Linked DNA regions of Stegostoma tigrinum. The protein of the gene in region 2 purifies or fractionates together with the protein of the main gene of each other region. This does not show direct contact. Links are inferred from orthologs where the notes say so. Each region holds a gene or a part of one and is shown on either strand. Other genes may lie near its edges.

Region 1 (7,800 bases), on a different chromosome or scaffold from region 2:
ATGTGGTCTAACTAGAATCTTACACAACTGTAACATAGCTTTCATCTTCTTGAGATAAAGGCTAACATTTCTTTAGCCTTTGTAACAAACATTTGCGCCCATCCACTAGATTTAAAGTTATTTCTGTACTTGGATATCAAAGTCTATCCAATCATCCAGATTTCTTAGCTTCTCACCATTATAAAACTATTCCAATATATGTGCCTTCAGGCAAAACAAATGGAAGGATTTTCTATTGTATGTTAAGTCCAAGCTGCATGACTTCAATTGACCCACATTTTGCCTATCCTAGTAATGTTTCGTAGCAACTTTTCATCCCATTTTACAGTCTGCTGTGCCACATAACTTAATGCTGTCAGCAAATTTGGATATACAGCTACCTATTCCTTCATCCAAGTACTATTACATAGCCAACACTAACAGTAGGATGCAATTACAACGTAACATGTTTACTTATACAGCCTACAACATAAATGTTGACATAGAAATTTACAATTAAAAACACCTTACCCCAATGTGGCAGAAACAAGATAATCAAAAGCTAGAGATAATGGGAAATGCAGATGCTGGAGAATCCGAGATAACAAAGTGTGGAGCTGGATGAACAAAGCAGGCCAAGCAGCATCTTCGGAGCACAAAAGCTAACGTTTCAGGCCCAGAACCTTCATCAGAAAAGGGGGATGGGGATACGGTTCTGAAATAAATAGGGAGAGGGGGAGGCGGATCGAAGATGGATAGAGGACAAGATAGGTGGAGAGGAGAGTATAGGTGGGGAGGGGATAGGTTAGTCTGTGAAGGACGGACAGGTCAAGTGGGTGGGATGAGGTTAGTAGGTAGGAAATGGAGGTGCGGCTTGAGGTGGGAGGAGGGAAAGGTGAGAGGAAGTACAGGTTAGGGAGGCAGGGATAAGCTGGGCTGGTTTTGGGATGCAGTGGGGGGAGGGGAGATTTTGAAGCTTGTGAAGTCCACATTGATGCCATTGGGCTGCAGGGTTACATTGATGACTGTATCGGTGCTGCCTCATGCTCCCAAAAGGAGCTCGAACAGTTCATCCACTTCAACACCTTCCACCCCAACCTCAAGTTCACGTGGACCATCTGCAACACATCCCTCACCTTCCTGGACCTCTCTGTCTCATCTCCGGAAACCACCTAGAAATCGATATCCATTTCAAACCCACCAACTCCTACAGCTACCTGGAATACACCTCCTCCCACCCACCTTCCTGTAAAAATTCTACTCCCTATTCCCAATTCCTTCGACTCCGCCACATCTGCTCCCAGGATGAGGCATTCCACTCCTGTACATCCCAGATGTTCTCGTTCTTCAAGGACCGCAACTTGTCCCCCACCCCCCACAGTGATCAAGAATGCCCTCAACCTTGTCTCCCACAACTCATCTCTCACATCCTGTCCCCACAATAACTGCCAAAAGAGAATCCCCCTCGTCCTCACATACCACCCCACCAACACACCATCCTCCGACACTTCCGCCATCTACAATCCATCCCTACCACCAAAGACATTTTTCCATCCGCACCTTTGTCTGCCTTCCGGAAAGACCACTTTTTCCGGGACTCCCTTGTCCGCTCCACACTCCCCTCCAACCCCACCACATCCGGCACTTTCCCCTGCAACCACAGGAAGTGCTACACTTGCCCCACATCTCCTCCCTCACCCACATCCCAAGCCCCAAGATGACTTTCCACATCAAGCAGATGTTCACCTGCACATCTGCCAATGTGGTATACTGCATCCGCTGTACCCATTATGCTTCTTCTACATTGGGGAAACCAAGCGGAGGCTTGGGGACCACTTTGCAGAACACCTACGCTCGGTTCACAATAAACAACTGCACCTCCCAGTCGCAAGCCATTTCAACTCCCCCTTGCATTCCTTAGATGACATGTCCATCCTGGGCCTCCTGCACTGCCATAATGATGCCACCCGAAGGTTGCAGGAACAGCAACTCGTATTCTGCTTGGGAACCCTGCAGCCCAATGGTATCAATGTGGACTTCACAAGCTTCAAAATCTCCCCTTCCGCCACTGCATCCCAAAACTAGCCCAGCTCGTCCCCACCTCCCTAACCTGTTCTTCCTCTCACCTATCCCCTCCTCCCACTTCAAGCCGCACTTCCATTTCCTACCTACCAACCTCATCCCACCCCCTTGACCTGTCCGTCCTTCCTGGACTGACATATCCCCTCCCTACCTCCCCACCTATCTCCTCCTCTATCCATCTTCGATCTGCCTCCCCCTCTCTCCCTATTTATTTCAGAATCCGCTCCCAATCCCCCTTTTCTGATGAAGGGTCTAGGCCCGAAACGTCAGCTTTTGTGCTCCTAAGATGCTGCTTGGCCTGCTGTGTTCATCCAGCTCCACACCTCTTTATTTGAAAGCTAGGATTTGCAGACGTGAAGTAGATTCTTAACATTTCACAAAAATTATAGTAGACTTTAAAGTAGGTCAATAAAGGAGAACCAGGGAATTTTGGATCTGAATAGAAATTCATTAAAAATTAATTTAGGATTGTTGTCAGTTATTTTTGTTTTACTTCAAACTGCAATAAATTACCATAAAAATCAAAACATTCAGGGCATCCAAAATATAATTAGATATGATTAATATGGAGTTGCTATCATGCTTGAAGTGAGCTTTAACAGAATGATTAGTGGTGTCTAATCTCTGAAAAAAAATTATGTAACAGCTATCAGAGTGACTGTTTTGTTCAAACTCCATTCTGTTTATTAAGGTGACCAGTGAATATCCAGAGTTGGCTGATAAATAACTAATTTCATGATAACCAAAGTAAAATTACATTAATCAGATTACCTCTTACACAGCAGATCCCCACGTTTTTAACTTCCTGTATTCTTGGCACTGTTCACTACAATATGCCTCATTCCTCTATAAACCATTTAGACAGGACTAGAACACAGTTGAGATGGATAATTTATTATAATGTTTTATTTATTTAAATAATGGAAACAAGGAAACAATATGTTCTATTTTGTTTCTAGTTACGGTAATTTTTAAAAAAATCTGAGACATGCAAATGACAAAAATGATAAATCTAAACCTACCCTGCCAACAGGCTGGATTTACTAATACTAATTTAAAGCTATACATTCTTCCAATTAATTTTTTTCTTTTATTTGTAACTTAATGCTCATTACAAAAGTTTAAAAAAATGAATTCATTGAAAGGATATGTTTCGGTTCCTTCAACAGCGATGTCTTCAGCCTCATTCTTTAGAAATTGAATTGGACACAATGATTAAATCAACTCCAGTAACAGAGGTCAACTCCACTAACTGCAACGTCTTCAGTGGCTGCCAAATTGACAAGAATGTTACCAGTTGCACATCATTGTTGAATATTAACACATTTTCAGTTTCAAATTAATTTTTATCAAACAGTCAAAAATGACCATTGGAAAGTGAATCCATTTTTACACAAATTAAAAGTGTACATAGCTACACAAATTGAGTATACACAGCATTACAATTATGTGACTATTTTCTTAGTATAACCCATTATAGCAAAAATATAAATTTGACATGGAATAATATTGCAGTAATATTTGGACGGAAGTATCAAACTCTAAGCAAGTTGCTTCTGTGCACATCATGAAATTTCTTCAAAATCTTACAAATCAACGTTTTAATTAATCTGTATGCCACAACAACAAACCTTGGTACTCTAATTTAGCACTTGTGCAAAATTTAGACAACATGCCAATATCAGTTACTCCCAAAACCTCATACCCGCAAAATTCAAACAGTGAGAAAACGCAAACACAGTAGAACTGAAAGCCCATTTTTTGAGATGCATTTCCTTGGTACATGTCACACAATCCGGACACCGCCAGCCATATAGAAAGTTATCAATACTGCCAGATTGTACCTATTTGGAAGTACGAATCCCCATTTTGGTCGAAACATTGCGAACCATCTTGATGCATTCTACAGTTGTAAATACAAACAAGTTCCAAATGTTCAACATGGTATTTCGAGCGATCATAAACAAACACTCCCTGACACTTCTGAACTGTCCACTGATGGATGGCAAGATTGAACCGAATAGGCCAAATGGGTTCGCTCACACAATACAACACATCAGTTGGCAACAAAAACCGAAAGAACTGCGGATGCTGTAAATCCGGAACAAAAACAAAGTTGGTGGAAAAGCTCAGCAGGTCTGGCAGCATCTGTGAAGGAAAAAACGAAGTTAACGTTTCGGGTCTGGTGGCCCTTGCTCAGAGGAAGGGTCACCGGGCCCGAAACGTGAACTTTTTTTTTCTCCTTCACATATGCTGCTGAGCTTTCCCAGCAACTTTGTTTTTATATATCACTTAGCAACAATATTTGCCCTATTATCAGCAGGAGCAGCAATGGGCCAGGATGTCATTTCATCTCAAACCCACAATCTATAAAGTCTGGTCCTGACGTAACCCTTTTACACATAAAACGATCGAGTGTTACACACACGTTTTTTTAAAAAAAAATGGACTGTACCAATTGACAAGCAAAGCCCACCGCTTTTACCTCGGCAATCTAAAGGAAGTCCCAGACCTCAGCAATTCGCTCAGAATCCGCTCCCCTACTTCAGTTAGGCTCCAAACAGACTACAGTCTCGCGGCGCCTCGCGAGACCGCCGCTCGCCGCTTCTTGGCAACCAACACGGCAACCGCGGCGAAAAAAGCAAACAGCTTATACTTTTTAATTTGATAATTACCAGCCCGTCGGTCTTCCTCCAAGACAACCAGCCTTGCCGCGAAATTAAATATTTATTTTGATTTTTAAAAATTTGGCATCAACCCCATTTTTTCAAACCGGCTTACCCACAATGCTTTGTCCCTCAACGAATTTCAGTCAAGTTTAGTTTTCGGCGCCATTTTCGACTGGGTCCGAGGTAAGCGCTTGAATTTTTCTCGAATTTATTCCTTTATTTTTTAATTTCCCCGTGCGAAAGTGGTCCCAAAATATTCCTAATATTTTTAAAAAAAAATAACAATCATTCGGCGCCGGAAAATCGAGTTTCGGAGTGATTTCCAAGGTATTGATGTAGTGGAAATGAAATCTGTTTTTAGCGGGATGAGATGCATGACAAATTTGTAAACATGTTGTTTCAGGGAAGTGGTTGCTATCTGCATTTTTTTAAAAAGCCCGGTTCCATTTATTGCATTGAACTAAACTTTTGAGAAATATGAACTGTCGAGTTCGTTAAATAATTACGATTGTTATCTCAGTCAGAATTTTAAATATTTTTCATTTTAGAATAGTTTTTTCTCCGATTCTTCCCTCCCCCCCCCCACCGCATTTTAGCTTTTGATTATTTTACTTGTTGGTGTGTTCTGTAAACTCAAACTACTTCATTTAAGCCATCGAACTAATATTAGACACAATTCATGTCAAATTTTGTTTTTTTTTAAAAAGTCTGTTCGTGCGCCTATTTAAGCTTAGTGACGTAGACTGCCTCAAATACACGTCGTTATATACAGCTTTTTTCATTTGATCAAATTGTTCCATTTTGAGTAAACGTTGTGTCCTTTCTAGTGAGATTTGTCTTTTATGTAATCTATACGGTTGACTTTTTAAATACAGTTTTTGTAACGTCATGATGTGGCGTTGGATTACAGTAAAGTACAGTAACTTTTCCTAATCTGGGTAGGGTTGCGGTAAATTTGGAATTAATGGGTTTTTTTTCAGGAGGTACTTTTTTTAGCCGAACTTTGATTTTTGTTTCAAAGCTTTTCTAAAGATATGGGCGTTGTGGGAATGAAAGGAATTGAATGGCAATGAAGGGATAACTACGTTTGCCTTGAGTTTTTTTTTGTTATAATAATTGCTGAACTAGGTTAAACCATGCCTGCCAAAACGAAGTCTTCTACAGCAAAGCAAAGCGCAAAACTGGGTCCGGGGGGAACTGAGCCCCTGGATGAGTTTGACAACGAAATGGATATCCAACAAAAGGCAACTGCATCAAATGTAGATGAAACTACAAGAGGTAATTTTTTCTTTGTCCGTGTATGGTTAATTTTATTTGTATTTTAAAATTTGTATTGTTAAAAATGAACGCATTTCATTTCTTGTATCTTTTTAATAAATTGAAGCTGTGATAATCGCTGCCGTTTAGTTCGTTTTGAAATTGGATTTAGCCGCCTAAAGTATGGCTAAACAGGTTGCCGATTCCATTGCCTATACGCCGAAATTGTTTTTGTAATCATTTTGCAAAAGTACTTCATGTGTTTTACCTTGGAGTTAACGGGTGTAGTTCCATTCAGACATGGGAGGAAAGCAGCCAACATTAACTAAACTTGTCAAGATCGTATTTGAACTCCGTAAGCTTCAATGACAATTGCAACGGATTACTTGTACCTAGAAAGTTGGTGCAGTAGATTTTTTTTAACCGGTTTTCAGCATAGGCTTGTAATAACTAGTGTTTACCCTGAAAGAAATATGTCCAGTCGTGTAATGGTTTACTTTTTTTCTTTGACAGTTTTTTTTTGCCCCTGACGCTGCAGCGCAATGGGGTTTGAGTTTTCTTTTCATTGTGTTCCCTTTTTTCCTTTGCGCGTTTTTGTACAGTACGTGAATTGTGGGGGGAGGGGTTGAGTTTCTGTAGCCTGGAGTACAAAACTGCTTTCGGAAGCTGCTGAAGATGTAAGAGATTTTAACCGAGAATTGATAAGACGTGTGATTTATATCTAATTACTTTCGTTTTTTACAAAAAAACGTGCGTCAGAAATTTAATAAAATTAGTCTTTTTCCGTTTTGTTGCTGCAGCAACTCCAAAACCAAGTATTTGGCAGGCGTACAAAACGCAATAGCAGCATTAAACTAGTGCAAGTTGAATACTTACTAGCCATTACTGCCGTACAGTACTTTTATGATCACTTTTTTCATGAATGCAAATTAAGTTCCTGAAATGTGATCTGTGGCAGTGTTTCACAGAGCATCCATATGATCTTGCATTGTAAATTAAAATATGTTATTGCGGCAGACTCTTCTCACAAGCATTGTTTTAAACATACACTTCAATTTATTAAATTAAACATAGTGCACTTCATTGTTCATATGTGTTGCCCATGATTATAAATATTGATTTTTTTTCATCAAGAATGGTGCATGAATAATTTAAAGAAAAATATAAATATTTGTCTGGAACTGTTTTGATCTATTAAAACAAGCCTGGGAACAAAATGTTTCTGATGGTCTTAATTTTTGTGGAACGTTGTTTTGTAATTGGACAATTTTGAGGTCATTTTGAACAGTTATGCATAACATTTTTGTGTATTAATGGTAATACCAAGTGGTATCTAACTTTTTTTAAACATCAAATGTGTGAAATGAATTGACTTTTTATAAATATTTGTGGTACAAAACTCTTGTTACATGAAATACTAAACATTATGCCTTGGTAGGATAGTGTTTAATTTGTTTTGTCTCTGTTTATATGTTGTCTCAGAATTACCAGTTGAACCAATAGATAATCGAAGCTTGGAAGAAATTTTGGCTGGCATATCTCCTCCTCCACCCCCAGCAATGACTAATGAACCCGGAGCTCCTCGACTCATGATAACTCACATAGTGAACCAGAATTTCAAGTCATATGCAGGAGAACAAATCCTGGGTCCTTTTCACAAGGTAACAGTTCACAAAAATTATACTGTTATCTAAATTCACTTTAAAAATTATGCTGTACTTAAATTCAAATCCAAAGTAATTTTTTAAAAATCAAATCGAAACATTTTGGGTGGAGATGTGAAACTGAGAAAATGCCTGGTCAGTTCCCTTAA
Region 2 (6,924 bases):
ATAGGCTATGTTTCTACTCACTAGAGTTTAAAAGAATGAGAGTGGGATCTCAATGAAACATATTGGATTCTGAAGGGATAACACTGTGGAGCTGGAAGAACACAGGAGGCCAGGCAGCAGAGAAGTAGGCATAGTTGATGTTTCTGGTCAGGACCCTTCTTTTCCTCCTCTTCCGACGCTGCTTGGCTTGCTGTGTTCCTCCAGCTCCACACGGTTATCTCTAACTCCAGCACTGGCAGTTGTTACTATCTCTGAGGATTCTAAAGGGGGTTGACAGAGTAAATAATGAAAGGATGTTTCCCACATGGGACAATCTGGAACCCGACGGCATTGTCTCTGAATAAAGGGGTGTCCATTTAAAATTCAGAGATGGAGGAATTTCTTCTTTCAGAGGGTTGACAGCCTTTGGAACTGCTTGCTACAGGCAGCTGTGGGCGCAAAGTCATTGTGCATGTACTTAATGCGGAGATAAATCAGTAGAGGAATTGAGAGTTATGAGGAAAGGGCAGGAAAGTGGATATGAGAAATGCCGAATCAGCTATCATCCTGCTGAATGGCAGAGCAGGCTTGAGGAGCCAAACCATCCAACTTCTGTTCTTATTTCTTATGACTTTTCAGTTTTATAGTTTCCGGTAGATAGTTCTGTTGCTATCAATGGCCGAGAGTGTTTGCTTACTATTTTATTTTCAGGCACCAAACCTCTAAAGACTCTACCCCATTTAGCTTGGTACTCGTGTCATACAGCATATGGGGAGTTTCCTCAGTATTAAGATGGAAATTGATCTCCCAGAGGATTGTGTGATGGCCACTCATACTAAGCCTGTCATGGACAGGTTCATCTGTGACAGGTAGATTGATGGAACAAAGTCAACTATGTTTTTTTATTTCTTCTTTCAACAAAATGCAATCAGAGATTCAGGACCAAGAGTGCCCTCCAAGCCTTTGTGATCCTCAGCAATTCCTTCAAGTCAGAGCCTGAGGGTTGACCTTATCGAGGTTTATGACGTCATGAGGAGCACGTATAGGGCGAACAGCCAAAATCTTTTTCCTATGAGAGTCCAAAATGAGAGGGAACACATTCAAGGTGAGGGCAGAAAAGATTTTAAAAGCTCCCAAGGGGCAACTTTCTCATGCATAGGGTAGCCAAAGGAAGTGGAGGAGATGGGTACAATTGCAACATTTAAATAGCTGGATGGGTGTTTGAGTACAAAGGATTTAGAGGGATATGGGCCAAATGCTGGCCAATGAGACTAGGTCAGATTGGGATATCTGGTTGGCGTGGAGCAGTTGGACCAAAGGGTCTGATTCTGTGTTGTATGACTACGACTATTAAGGTGAATGAATATCGTTGCCATTTTAACAGCGATGGATCTGAATCTAGCCAGAAGAGGTTATGCATATCAACTGTCAGGAAATCCATATTTCCAAACTTTCTGATTGAATCAATATCAGAAGTGACCCTTAAAAACACAGCCCATGTTTCTAACAATGTTTAATACCACAAGAACTCCTGTCTTCCAAGGTATTAAGTATGTCACATAACTCATTGCTGTTCCCAACCTAAAAGCAATTCGGCGTGTAATCACATCCATTTCCCTTGGGCAGCCACTTGCTCTGCAGAGCACGCACAATATCTCTGCGGTTGTGTTCGTAAAATATAAACTTTGTTGAAGCCATCGGAACGCAGATCTGAAACATTGTGAAATCCCTGGGTACTTCATAACCTTGTTCTCCCTTCTAATGCGTCACTTAGAGATACGATTAAAATAACTACCAACGCACAATTCTTGAAATTAAGAGCAAATATTAAAAAAAACAGCCCCAATCGAAGTTGGGATCCGGCAAAAGTCAAGTCAACAGAAAACGACCGACGACAAAATTAAAAGAAAACTTACGTTTCAAAACAACGATCCACATTATCGGACATGAGAAGTAACATGCACAGCTGCTCCAAGGCTATAAGCTGCATGTCCCTCTCGTCTCCCTGGCCCATTTGTAGCCATTCCAACAAGGTATCGGGATCCACATCGGCCATGATGAGATAGACCTCTTAAATCCCTGACAGTTATCCCCACTAATGTCCTCCTAAAACTGGGAGGCTGGTGGGAAAGTCCCTGGGAAGAGAGATCACCGTGTTTTCCACAACTGGTCCGAAAGAATCTAGCCAAAAAATAAAAGAAAGTACACGTTAACGGATTCTTTTTTGTGCATGTTATTTCAGTTCATCATCAATTCCCCCACTCTAAACCATCCCCTCGACCTTCCATGAAATAAATAACCTGAGAAAGTTTGGGCAAGCGATTTCCACCCGAAACTAACGCACTTGCCCGCTCAGGAGCCGCCATTTAAACATATTCGGCCTAAAGCTGGCGGATCAGTATTGTCCAGGCCCAGGCCGATGAGACTCAACAGCCGCCTCACGGGGACAGAGACGCAGGCCCCAGGCTGCCCGGTCCGGTCAACCCCGGGGCGGGGCGCTCGAAGGTAGTGACCGTGGCCGACGAGGCCCACTTAAACCGGAGAGGCCTGGGCCTCGCTTCAGCCTACCGCCCGGGCGGACACACAAAGAGACTCGGCCTGACCCGGAGATGATGATGATGATGATGATGATGATTGGGGGGGGGCGGGGGAAAGGAACAGGGTAAGACAGAGCAGTCCGTTGCGGCCGACTTCCCCTGGGCTAGCGCCTGGATTCTGACCGTAAGGCCTAGCGTCATCAAAGCCGGCTGGCCCCGAAAGCGACTCCTCGTCCCGTTCTCGACGACGGCGGCAATGTACCTCCACTCACCGGCTCTGGCTATCGGCGGCTCGAGAGACACCGCGGCATCATATCCTTTCCCCTCACTCTCCTCTCCCCCGCCGCCGCCGCCAGGCTGGCCGAAGTGTTCAAGAACAAGGGGCCGAGAGCACCTCCTGGTCGTGGGACCGAAACCGGAGCTCCAGGCACCGAATGCAGAGGGAGGAGGAGGAGGAGTAGGAGTGTCCGTTCCTCCCCTTTACCTAGGGAGCGACACTGAAACGCCGCGGCCTCTCACAAACGTCAAACCTTGTACGTCTCTCCGTGTGGTTATGTTTAATCTTGGAGAAATTAGATATAAAACAAACAACCACATTTCACCTCCTTTCGAAATACATGATGGGTGAGTCTTTTTTAAAAAAAAACACCTTGTGACCGTTGAATTAATTTCGTCGCTGGAGCCGTGAAAAACAAAACATGTTTTTCATTTGAGGCTGTGGAGTGGTGTGGTGTTCTCGGAGGGTTTCTCTGCGGGCCTGTTGGCAGAAGGACAGTTTCATCTGCCGTTAAGGTGAGTTTCGACGACGGACGCACAAATGAACGGATCGCTTCTCATCATTTCGAGGTAGATCGAGAGAGGCGTTTATCTCACAACGAACACCACAAAATCATATCATCTGACCGTTGTCATTGCTGTTTTTGTGCAGATTTGCTGTGTGCAAATTAGCTGCCATACTTCCTACAGTGCAGGCGTGACAATACTTGAGAAATGTCTCAGGTGAGGCCAAGCATTTTCTCTGATGAAGGGTCCAGGCCCGAAACGTCAGCTTTTGTGCTCCTGAGAAGCTGCTGGGCCTGCTGTGTTCATCCAGCTTCACACTTTGTTATCTTGCGATGACTTGTTCCTTTCAAGGTATCTCTTTTGACTCAGCCTTAGAAAGACATGGCTTATATACGACTCTAAAACATGTACTGTTTTTCATGAGCTTTTCAGATGCTATTTAGCTGAATAAAATACGTACAAGGGCACTTTTTCAAAGTGGTGTAGGAATGCCCAGCCAACATTCACCCCTCCACCCATTTCCTAAATCATACTGTTGGTTATTCGTAAACAGTTATCTTGAGAAAACGTTGAGAAAAAGTTGAGCATTAACCCAGTGGTATTTGGTATTGGTATTTGTGAATCAAATTCCAGCAATGGGTGAATAACCCTGCAACCTTTTAAATACCACAGGAGAGGTTAAGGCAAAGGGAGCAAAACATTATTTAAAATCTAGTACAGCCAAAGACAGAGTGATACTACGTTGGTCATTTTCCAGTTACTCCCGCAACCAAACGAGTATCAAACAATACGCTCTGTATTCCTTTAGAATCAACTAAGGAGTTGAACCCGGATCTTTGGGCTGCTCTGGGTCTTCGTACGTTTTGTGCAGAAGAGGATGTCTCCAGTGCTCCGTGGAATATTAACATAACATTGGAAACACCAGTTACAAGTGATAAGGCCAATTTCATTGCCATAGAAAGCTCTAGCTGTCAGCTGAGGTCAGAAGGTGCATTCTATGCTGCTAAGAAAAGCACCGTTCACTTCAAGTTGGGCAGTTCCCAAATAATGAGCTGCTGACTTGCCACAGGTCCATCTGCTTCAAAGGGGGCTTACGTCTAATAGCTCTTGCTCAACAAGCAAGTGGAATCTATCATACCAGGCAAACAAGTGAAAAACATGAAAAGAAAAAAGACACAAACTATTCTGTTAGTAGGCTTGAATGTCAGAACCAAGTGCCAACAGACAACTTGCAGCTGATGATAAAATGCAGAAGACAACAGTGATTCATGTGGAACTTGGACAGAATATCAACACAGCTTCCCTCCAAGACACCATATTCACAAAGAGTGGATCACTGAAAGAAAAACATATTCATCTGATAGGGAAGAGTTCAGAGCAGGTTTATGCGTCTGGTGTAGGTTTTGTTGTTAGGTAATTATTAATTTTGGTGATGGAACTCACTCCAGTTAGTTCAAAATATATTCTCCGCATCCGCTTCTGAACTCAAGCAGGGTCTGTTAACTTCATGGGCATCTGTGCTCCATGACAGAGGTGAAAGACAAGTTCTGTGAGGAGCGAGACACTGTCAGAAGAATCCCCAAGTCAGGATATCTTCATCCACTGGGGATTTCAGTGCAAGAGGGGATGCAGACCATAAGACATGGCCCTGCTGTCTCTGAAAGGTATATGAAAACAGACAGAAACAAATTAAGCTTCACCACTGTCACAAGCTTTTCAACACCTTTCAGAACAAGCCATACCATAATGTTGCCAGGAGACATCCAGGGTACAGCGTCCTGGAGACATTCTGGTGTGACCCAGTGGATGGAACCCTTGAAGCTTTTCTTCAAAGCAGAAATGTTGCCTTTGTATCAAGATCAAACATTTTGCCCACCATGTAAAAACCAACAGTTCCTCAACACAACACGCATTCACCAGCATTTCCACAATGAACACCAAAATAAAATGAAACATTCCATCAACGATATGCACTCTCAAAATATGGAAAGCAACACTAGGAAAGTGCTAACTGATAGAAGTCTGACATCTAACTGCCCTGTCAATATTCCAGCATTGGAACTGGAGACTTAACCTCCAGAACTAACCACATCTGTAGTTTAGCCGTTCAGTGTAGCTGTACACTGGCATCTAGCTGACAATGTGGAAAACTGTCCAAATATGACCTGTCCACAAAAAGCCGTACAAATCCAATCTGGCCAGTTGCCACGCCATCAACCATCTTTCAATTATCACCAAAATAATGGAAAGGTTTGCAACAGTGTTATCAAGCAGCATTTACACTGCAGTAACCTGCTCACATTATTATTTTGTGGTTCACCAGGACTCCTCAGCTGCTGCCTTCATTGCAGCCTTGGTCCAAACATGGGCAAAAGAACTGAACTAAGGAGGGGATAAAATCAAGGCAGTGTTTGCTTGAGTGTGACATCAAATTTAAAGTCAATGGGAATCAGGAGAAATATTCTGCACTGGTTGGGATCATACGTAGCACACAGGAAGATGGTCATGCTTGTTGGAGCCCAATTAGGGGATGTAATGCCCTAGTGGTATTATCACTGAACTGTTAATTCAGAGACCCAGGTAATGTTCCAGGGATCTGCATTTGAATCCCACCATGACAGATGATAGAATTTGAGTTCAATTAAGAACAGAACTGAAATTAAGAGTCCAGTGATGACCATGAATTCATTGCTGGTTGTCAGGAAAACCCCATCCAGTTCACTGGTGGCCCTTAGGGAAAGTGGAGTTAATATTCAATGTATAATTTTTTCCATAATATACTGAACATTAATTCATTTGCCATGGGCAAAGTTGCAAGTACTGATAGTGTACCATATGAACTCATAAAATATGAGAAACTGGTACTCTTGCAGCAACTGTGATAACTTCTCTTGCCTCTGCTGCAGAAATGGGGCAACAGCAGAATTGCAAAAATTTGCATGGCAGCTTCTTGTTCAACATCTTGAGCAAAGTATTTGGCTATTGTTGCCCTTGACAGACAGTAGTTCCTGCTGAATCCATTTACCTCAAATCCTAGTATTTTTCAGAACTGGAATTTCGACAGTTGTCATGAACTTCTCAGTCCAGCAACTGCAATAGCAACACAATAACAAAGGAGACCATTGTGCATTGCCTTCATTGATCTTATAAATGCATTCAGCCACGTGGACAGAGACAGTCCATTCAAGCTGCCATCCAAAATTGTTCAATGTGATCTCAACCATGACAATACAATGGGTAAGATCAACTACATAACAGAACAACATCAATACATAGTGCAGTTGGTGTTCTGGCACCGACAGTCCTTGGCATATTCATTCCTCACTTTGCTCCTGGAGTATGCCTTCAGGATATTCACAGAAACTGTCTCTTTACAGCCTTGTTCGTCTGAGTTCCAAGACAAAGATGCACCAAGCCATCATCAGACAGTTACTCTGCACCAACAGTGTTACTATCTTTCCATATTGAGGAATATCTGCAGCAGCAAATACTCAAAATCTTTATGATAATTCCCAAAAGGTCGGTGGGGAATCAGTAATTAATCTCCTATCGGAGCTTGTTGAGTACAAGTTCCCTCGGTAACAGGCAACGACTGACCCAGCTGAAAGTCATTGCCTGAACCTCA

The links. The genes of interacting proteins can lie anywhere in the genome.
Region 1: the proteins of hectd1 (region 2) and smc4 purify together in Homo sapiens (affinity purification with western blotting; 3 studies listed by BioGRID, with this or other methods). This does not show direct contact. The link is inferred for Stegostoma tigrinum from reciprocal best matches to the Homo sapiens genes HECTD1 and SMC4.

The regions. Positions count from the first base shown.
Region 1 is NC_081367.1:27,392,824-27,400,623, forward strand, and holds the start of smc4 (structural maintenance of chromosomes protein 4), read left to right. Parts: upstream 1-4,797; 5' UTR 4,798-4,913; intron 4,914-4,949; exon of another isoform or gene 4,950-5,057; intron 5,058-5,858; 5' UTR 5,859-5,866; coding exon 5,867-6,008; intron 6,009-7,469; coding exon 7,470-7,648; intron 7,649-7,800. Other genes in the region: ift80 (intraflagellar transport protein 80 homolog), read right to left, coding at 3,209-3,248. UniProt on the Homo sapiens protein: Central component of the condensin complex, a complex required for conversion of interphase chromatin into mitotic-like condense chromosomes.
Region 2 is NC_081363.1:60,981,093-60,988,016, reverse strand, and holds the start of hectd1 (E3 ubiquitin-protein ligase HECTD1), read right to left. Parts: upstream 3,071-6,924; 5' UTR 2,779-3,070; intron 2,570-2,778; exon of another isoform or gene 2,280-2,569; intron 2,161-2,279; 5' UTR 2,036-2,160; coding exon 1,896-2,035; intron 1-1,895. UniProt on the Homo sapiens protein: E3 ubiquitin-protein ligase which accepts ubiquitin from an E2 ubiquitin-conjugating enzyme in the form of a thioester and then directly transfers the ubiquitin to targeted substrates.